Oryzias latipes: one gene and its partner. The protein of the gene in region 1 interacts with the protein of each later gene in a pairwise test. Links are inferred from orthologs where the notes say so. Each region holds a gene or a part of one and is shown on either strand. Other genes may lie near its edges.

Evidence for each region.
Region 2: the proteins of zmym2 (region 1) and forkhead box protein P1-B come close enough for resonance energy transfer, tested with the Homo sapiens proteins (2 studies listed by BioGRID). The link is inferred for Oryzias latipes from reciprocal best matches to the Homo sapiens genes ZMYM2 and FOXP1.

Annotation. Positions count from the first base shown.
Region 1 is NC_019879.2:11,194,347-11,198,769, reverse strand, and holds the start of zmym2 (zinc finger MYM-type protein 2), read right to left. Parts: upstream 3,092-4,423; 5' UTR 2,916-3,091; intron 1-2,915. UniProt on the Homo sapiens protein: Involved in the negative regulation of transcription.
Region 2 is NC_019863.2:6,332,635-6,337,098, forward strand, and holds the start of forkhead box protein P1-B, read left to right. Parts: upstream 1-1,564; 5' UTR 1,565-1,711; intron 1,712-1,833; exon of another isoform or gene 1,834-1,912; intron 1,913-4,281; 5' UTR 4,282-4,336; intron 4,337-4,464. UniProt on the Homo sapiens protein: Transcriptional repressor. Can act with CTBP1 to synergistically repress transcription but CTPBP1 is not essential. Plays an important role in the specification and differentiation of lung epithelium.

The DNA of each region.
Region 1 (4,423 bases):
AATGAGTAATACCCGTTTCTTTTTCCACTATGGGATTTTGGCTCCTGGAGTCAGCGGGTACTTCCTGTTTGGAATGGGAGGTGGGGGTGAGGGTAGGGGGGTCACTCAGTCCAGTTCCTATGTACATCAAAAGTCTGAACCAAGACAGCCCTTTAACAAAATCAGCAGCAAGAAAAGGCCCTGGTCCAGCAAGTTTATCCCCTGACCTGCAATTGTAGTAAAGGTCTGATTAAAGGTCAAAGGATTCAATATTCGTTGTTATTCTAAAAGGAACTGCTGCATTGGGTCTGCTAACTAAATCCAATCAAGGGCTATAAGATCCTAAATTGATTTTTGAATAAATCATGTTTACATATGTGATGTATTTATTCAATTTTCTAAATAAATTGAATCTAATCTAATTCGAAATGCTGTTCTTGAGTAAAACAATCTTTAAGAACCACTCCCATCATGATCTTTTGCAAAAGCGTTCCCAGTGGTCTTTAAATGATTGTGCAGTTTTTAGTCAAAATCAAAAAGCGGTGTCGTCTTTTAAGACAGTTTCTGCAGAGCGGCAGTAGTTCGTTAGAAATTCACCTCTGAGTTGTGGACAGGACTGTTGGTGCTGAGCAAGCCTGCTCCCACATCCCATCATCTATCTGTTTACACTTTCTCCTGCTAGTTTACAGCCCTCACACCCCCAACCTAACATTACCAGTGCAACAAAAATGACAAGCAATATTGAAGCAAGTGGACGCATTACACTAAAGTGGAGAAGGGAACGTGTGACTCGCTGTAGCATTTTTTCATTTATTCCTGATTCACAACAATTTGAATAAAGAAATACTAAGAAAGGCAATTTTGAGCTTTCCATCGTGAGAAAAACACCACAAGAATACCAAAAACGCAATTTTCATCAGAGTAGGTCTTTAACTTTGCAGTGAAAACCTTCAACAGCAGGCTGGTTCTGCCTGACAGTGAAGCCAAATGAGGAAAGAGTCTCTGATCAAGTGACAGGAGGCACAAGAAGCAGAAAACCCCCAAAGATAAATGCATTTGTTCAAAAACCTGATGGAAGTCCATAGCATTTATTTCATATAGGCTCCTCTCTGGAAGCCAATACCTTTGCTGATGTCCAGAGATTTAGAAAATTTGATATTTTTGGACTTAACAATGATGAAATGCCGTAAGAATCCCCAGATCTGCTCTCCTGCATGAGCAGCATCTCCCATCCAGCTTTCTGACCTAATATCCCACCAGCTGAGGACTCTGCGCTCTGATGGAGGGAAATAGCCTGGTTTAGACCGAGACCAGACTGCAATGCAGAGCTGGGAGGAAGGTTGCGTTCACGTGACTGCGAGGAAAAACGAGGATCCAGCATTAATTAGCTCTGACATGCAACCCCACTCCCAATGTCAACACCAGGTGGAAAGGAAGGTGGGCCGGAGCTGTGGAGGGACTGCCCCCCTGCAATAACACACAGGGCCTGCGCCACATCACCACCTCAAAGGTGCTGCTCTGCCTTTCCAGCTGTTTCTCCTAGAAGGTCACAAGGTGGAGATGTGCAGCTGTTTGCACCAGAGGAGAATACTCCTGACGTATTCCAATGAGGTTATTATATAAGGCTTATGTCACTGATGCATAATGTCCTGCCCCCCCCCCCCCCCAACCAGCTGATGGGCTCAAGAACAGCCCCCTCTGGTTACCTGGTAGCAAAATGCCGCACTAAAAACCCTCCACGCGGCTTTCCTGAGGAGAAACTACAAAATCACCGAGGATTGGAAGCGCGCAAAGCCTTCTGGGAAGCGTGCCCTTGATTAATGATACAGTTCAGGAATCACCGAATCAGATTCAGGCGCCCGGTTCACTCGGCGCCTGTCACCCCTCCTCTTTTTTATTACCTTTATAAAACCCAACTCCACAACTTTCAAAGAAAATATTTTTGTTTAAAAAAAAACAGCTACGTGAGCTGCGCAACTCTTTCAGCCATGCGCGCGCGAGCGTGCGTTTGTGTGTGTGGTGGTGGGGGGGGTTGAGCTCCCAAGTTGGGGTTCATTGGAAACGTGGTTGAGGGTTTTCCGTTCCCACCCCTGCCTTTCCTGGCGCAAACAGCCATTGGATTAGCGGCGGACCGAGGGGAGGAGAGCAAACCCAGACTGCGCCATTGTTAAAACGCCTCTAAAAACGAACGCAACTGACTCAAATACGTGACAATGTGGCCCAAAAAAAAGCTCGAACACGTCAGAGCACGCGCTAAAAACGCAACTCCGAGCGTCTGCTGACGTTTGTTTTCACCCAAAAAAAAAAAAAAAACCTCTTCAGTCGCTTAGTTTGCCCTTCTCGCCCCGGCACGTGCCATTGGTATCAACTACAGTATTTGACACAGCTGAAAATTACTGATTTCTAGGATACCTGAGAAGCCGGGGTTTTAATTGGAAAGTTACCCTGCAGAGTCCACCCTAGCGCAATCAGTTGCACTTACACCCGGTCGCCGGAAGGGGCGCCCTTCCCTTTGCCGTTACATGAACAAGCTTCAATTGTGTCAACAACAAACCCCAGATAAACGCACGCATCATTTTTGGAGCGGTTTCCTGTTGCTGAACGCCAGGTGTAAGCCACAAGCCCCGACCACACCAAATCTGCCCCCTCCCTGCACACCTCACAGCGGAAAACGCCAGTGCCCGCCGTCCGCCATTAGGGAGCCGACTAAACAATACTGTGGAGCCTGGAGGCGGCTGCAGTCACAGCACACGGAGCGTAAAGGGAAATGTCTGTAAAAATGTAACTACCAATAAAGCCTTTCATATGAATGCTGCTTTCGGGCTGGCTCTGAAGAGAATTCCCAGGAATGCCGCCAGAACCCCCACAAGTTCCCAAAACTTTGAGCAATTTGGCGTGAAAGTGGAATATATGGACAGGCTGGGGGGATCGCTTACCGGAGAAGATCTTGAAACGGTGTAGCGCCACTTTTGTGCCCTGACATTAATCCCGGGGAGCGCATGCGCACAACGTAGAACTTTCCACTTTACGTCTAGAGATCGTCTATCACGAAGATGACCCCTTTGAGTTCTGTGTCTTCTCTGACAGTCAAAGGAAAGCAATTTCTCACAATCTTTTCAGATTTATCACCCCTAATGACCGTTTTAATGGTCAAACAAGCCAAGAAAAAAAATAACTGCGTGAAGTAACAAACAAAACAGAAACAATCTATTTTCTTTAACCAGGGCCTTTTTAATCTTAGTTTCTTCTTTACAATTTGCTCAAATAATTTATCTTTAATACAGTTCTTGGGGCAATGCTTGATATCAATTTTTAGTATAACCCCAGATTCTTTTTCTTAAAAATATTTTTCATTGTATTACACAATAAGTCTGTAACAAACCTGAAACTGTCCAAAATTCTAAATTCAGAGTATACAAAAAATCTGTCACTTTTGACTGCAAAATTCGGATCAGTTTTGTGTTTTATAACAAAGACAAAACGTCTAGAGACAATTCACAAATGCATAAATCAATAAATAAGCAAAGACAAAATCAAAATAATGTGAAATATGTCCCAAAAACATTAGGCATAGCTTCACTCAAAGTTCCAAGAATTTATTCCAAGGGGCATCACAAATTTGTGTCATAACCTTCACATTGCATTTTGAATGAAAAGGATCCTAATAGGGGCGTCAATGCCATTCCTACGTCATTTTAAACAGCCTGTGTGATTGGCAAACTCACCAGTGAGTGCAGAGACTACTGAGGTTTAAAACAGGCAACTGAAGACAACTGAAAAGTCACTACAGATGCTGTCTTGGAACCAAAGCAAATTTTAGGGGTTAAATAATATATAAGGTACCTTAGCAGAAAACATCTAAGAGATCTAACTCATGAAAAAAATCAGAATTTAACAACCAAAGATGCCAAAAACAAACAACGGGAACTAAATGAATGAAAATGTTTTAAATTGAAGTAGTTCTGCCAATGCATCAGTAACTGTCTGATAAGAATAGCAGAACTTTGACCATAAACTTTTGAATTGAGGGAAACAATTAAGAGGCGTGGTTTTGTGCTCAAACACTGGTAACACGACTGGTGATGTGGTGCAAGTTAAAACAGTTGGAAGATAATCAATCCATATTTTAAGACACAGTTGACCCAATCCTACATTGACTCATCCATCCATTCACCCGTCCATCTGTTTAATTTCTGAACCTTCTCTATCTCTTCTGGGGTCAAGGTGTTGCTGGAGCCTATCCTAGCAAGGAAGGACAAAATGGTCGTAAAAATAGAGTTTGTGATGACTGTATGAGTAGATCTCTATATTTCCTGCTAAAGATACACACTACAGTAATCCCCCCGTATTCGCGAATGGGCGGGGCGCGAATATTAAACCGCGAATGGGCGGGGGATTACTGTATTACCAAAAGGATAAATGCAGATGTGAAGCAATGCTTCCT
Region 2 (4,464 bases), on another chromosome or scaffold:
TTACCATTGGGAGTTGGGTCATCTTGACCCACTAAACAGTGCACTGAACCTTTTTTCTTCAATGATTTGTGATCTTCACTGGTGTCCATGGATTACATGAAATCTTTTCACCTTTATCCACCTTTGTCATGGTAGGGAGAACACGTCAAAGTAAGGGTGGGGTCATCTAAGAGAGCTCAAGGGTTATAGGAATACTCAGAAATGTGTGAATAGATCAAAATACCACTTTGGGGTTATTTTTGTGACGAATTAACATTATAATACACTTAAACGTGCAAAAAGTTGAGTCTGTGTGATAAAGGCCCTTTAACTGTTCATTTGCATTTAATCTTATTAAAATAGTTTAAGTTGAATGGTTGGCCCTCAGACAGTTAAAGCTCACCAAATCTCGCCTTCTTTACTAAATGTTTGGACACCCCTGATGCAGATGTGTCAGGAGAGTGGCAGAAAGAAGCCACAGGACAGCAATAACAGAAACAACCAGAGGGGGGAGACAGAGGAGCAGAGACCTGCCAAGCCATGACACAAGTAATCTTTAACCAATAGTAACCTTTGCGGCTCCGCTCTCTTCACTGAAATGGTCACTGAACTCCATGTAGTTGTGCCCTGTTTCCCTGGTTTTGCCTTGATTGTCATTTATTTTTCCCGCTACATAAAATGTCGACCAAAGCATACATTATGAAGATATGAGTGTAAAATACAATATTATATTTTTAAAATAAAGATTTGGTGGAATGCCGACGGACCAATACTAAATGTAATGAAATAAATGTTACATTCGAATAAAAGTGAAGGTTCTGCCACTTAGACTAAAAGTGTTCAGAAACAACATGCGCTGTTTTAGTGTTTCAGTGGATTTTGGAATTTGTCTTCCATACTGACAAGTAGCCACACGGTGGCGCTCTCCAATAACAAACCGGCTTTCTGCATTTCCTGCAGCAGGCGTCTCTTCCAGCTGTGACAAATACAGATGATAGAAATAAGATAAGATGTTCATCTAAATAATATGTGACGAAAAATATATTTTTAAAAACGAAGAAAAACAAACAAAATAAAACAAACGAAAACAACAACTAACTAACAAAAACAAACAAACAAAAAGAAGGAGAAAACAATATACTATTAAGCAGACTATTGTTGCTTTCCTGCAGACAGTTCAGGCCTTAGAATCTGTTCATAAACCAGCGGGATGAACAGAAGAGTTTTTCTAGATTATGGCCGTAAATTTAAAACAGATTTCTGACGTAAACAGCACTTTTGTCATTTTATTTTCTAGCATTTAACACGATTGTATTAATCAGTGGTTAAAAAGAAAAGGTTTTCTCTAAATATATCCTAGTTCACGCTTTCACTTTAGTCTTTACAGGTGTGTCTTTTCTTTCTTATCTAACTTTGTAACAAAACTATTTCAAATCAGCCCATTTTCCGTAACTAGAAGTAATTTAGGACTTTTATTGGAATTGTTCGGGTAAATGATGTTTCCACAAAGTCCCTGCAGAGCGATGAAAGTTGTTTACAAAGCAGGTGGATGTGACGTCAGAGGTTTGGACATCAAAACAATAACATCAAACCCGCGATTCTTCCCTTTTCCTCTTCTTCTTTCCGCGTGTAAAAATCTAATAACATTAAGAAAAGGCGCTCGTGCCTGTGAGTCAGAGCGGCACGCGGCGACAGTCAAACTCCGACTTTTGCTTCGTTTTCGACGCCCTTGGTAAGCATCACTTTCTACTGCTTGGAGCCAAGTTAGTTAGTTAGTTAGATAGTTAGTGACCCCCCCCCCCCCCTTCGCGGGCAGAGTAATATCGGTGTTTTTACGGTGTGGTTTTATGTTGGTAGCGAACTCGCGTGCACGGGTTAGCCATCGGTACCGTCCGCGTGCGCCGGTTAGCCTGCTGAAGCGTTTTCCTCCACGGTAAGTTTGGCTCTTCTGGCGGTGCTCGCTCGCGTGTTTTGGCCGAGGCTCGTGGGGCTGCGCGGCATTCAGCGGCGGCGGCAGACAGACACGCAGACGAGCCGTTCAAAGTTTCAGCCTGTTCTGGGCAAACAAACAAACAAACAAAAACGAGTTGAAGTTTCAGCGGCGCCGCAGAAGTTTCAGAGCAGCAAAGACCGTTGAGACACGCGGTGGTGGAAGGTGCAAATCCCCGCAGGGGCTCTGGAGGGTCAACAAAGTTCGAAGCTTCTAGGAAAAAGTGGAGAAAAGAACCGACTAGAGGGAGCGCGCGTGAGCGCCGTGATTTGTCGGTCCCGGGATGGAGCTTCTCTCCACCTGTTAGCAGGTTTCTGCCTGAACTTGAAGGATGGATGGATGGAGCTTTCCCGAACTTTGAAGACTTTTCTTCAGTTCATGGAAGTGTCCTCCGGCCGGAGGCTGCTGTTTCTGTGCGCCTTAGCAGACTCAGCAGCCCAACTGAAACGGATATTCAATTCATTACAACATGATTAGCTCTCTAGTCTACACAAAGCCGTTCAGCAACACAACGCGCTGCGACTTCTACACTATACTCGCTTTTTTTTTCTGTTGTGAACATTAAACACCACAAACAGACGTTTCAGTTCATCTACATCGAAGCAAAAATGTGTCCAAAATGTTTGCTCGTGAATTATAATTTTTAAATTAAAATTCAATAAAACAAAACTATGATGCAACAGCGAGAAGATTGTGTAACGTTTACTATCAGAGCATAAACACTGTAAAATATATTTTATATGCATCTGTTAGTTTTTTCTAAATATATTTCAGATATTTGGTGTCAACACATCAGAGAAACTGGACAATTATTATTTTTACAAAGTGTTTTTTATTATCGCTCTTCTTTTTTTTTAAATAGAGCTATAATGGTAACAAGGTAATTCCTCTTTTGTAGACTCAATAACGTTTTTTTTCTATTCTAATAAAAATAATAAATTACACCCATTTGTCAAGGATTATTAATTTGGAATGATTTAATAAGCTCCTGCTTTTTAGAATGAAATCTCATTTATTTTATTTATAAATAAATAAAATAGAGAGTGACATTTGTTCCTCCCTTGAACCTCTTGCAGAGGGAGAATTTAAAGACTGTGTGACAGAATTCCTTTAAACGGCACATGTGACATAAACAATACTGCTTTAAAAAACTATTGCTGGCAGTGTTCCCTCCTTTTTGGTCTTTGGATTAGTCATTGTCTGAGGAGAGAGAGAGAGAGAGAAAAAAAAGTGTCTTTTTGTAGAAGGAAAGTAAACAGCCTCCAACAAGCGAACCTTGACAACCCAGATTAAGGAAAACACGGGAGATCAAACAGTGCTGCTGCTGGGCTGTTGTCATGAGCAGCCTGAGAGAGAGCGGCAGACTATTTGAACAGGCTCTGGGCTCTGTGTGCTCACTTATGCAGAAATAGACCTTCACAAATGCTGACCCAGCCTTTAAAACAGAGGATGAGCTTTCTTTACAATATTTGCAGGCCTGCCGTTTGACATAACCGTTCTATAAGGGTTGAGACGCAGTCGTGTCACGGAGAAGAACACTTGCACTGTCGCCTGAGTGTGCATTTAGGAACAAGAATAGCTGTTTTTTCCCCTCTTCTGTCAGGCACGTTGAGTGAAAATATAAGGTTTTTTTTTGATTGCAAAAAAAAAAAAAAATCACCTTGGTGTATTTTAATCATATAGACTTTAAGAAGAATGTAAAGGCACCGATGTCACATATGTGTGTGATTTAGGAAATCATTCTGACGTTCTAGAGCTTGGGGTGATTTGTGAAGAGCTGAGGTTCAGTGGTAAGAAAATAATCCCTCACCGGAGCACCGAGTGTGAGAGCTTCACCAGCAAAGCCAGCGTCCCTCTTTCATCCCACTGCTCAGTATTTGCCAGCACACATTAAAACACCTTGTGCTGGTAGTGAGGAGTGCCCCGCTTTCCTCTGAAAGACAACCACTTTTTAGTGATTAACACTTTAATTTTTATTAGATTTCTAGTCTTTCATTTTTTTAACACTTATTTCTTAGTAATTAAATAAATAAAATGCGCAGCTACTGTTTTGGGTTTCATGTTTCACTTCTTTCATATTTTTAAGGGGTTTTCAAGCTTTCAGAGACGAACCGTCTCAAAGCATTTCTTTACATTTTGGAGTTACATCAAGCAACAAAAGTGAAAGGAAAAAGTGTGAGGTTTTAACCTTTTGATGACTCCTCGTGAGGCGAAATGACACCCGTCATGTGAAAACGCTCTAGTGTTCTGTGTTGTCTGAATATCGGCGAGGAAGAGAGGAATGTTTACACTTTCTGTCTCTGCTGCTACAGGCAGACTGTCCTCCATGCCAGGAAGGCTGTGTGGTCAGGGAGCAGACGCCTTCAGGTGAGCTCCCTGTTCCCACTCCTACGGCGTGATGCTGCTGACTACCGTGAACCCATGCAGCCGTCGACTGCCGTCCTCTGTCGTCCTCTGTTGCTAATGAAAGCAATCTAACAGAAAAGCCACCCGCC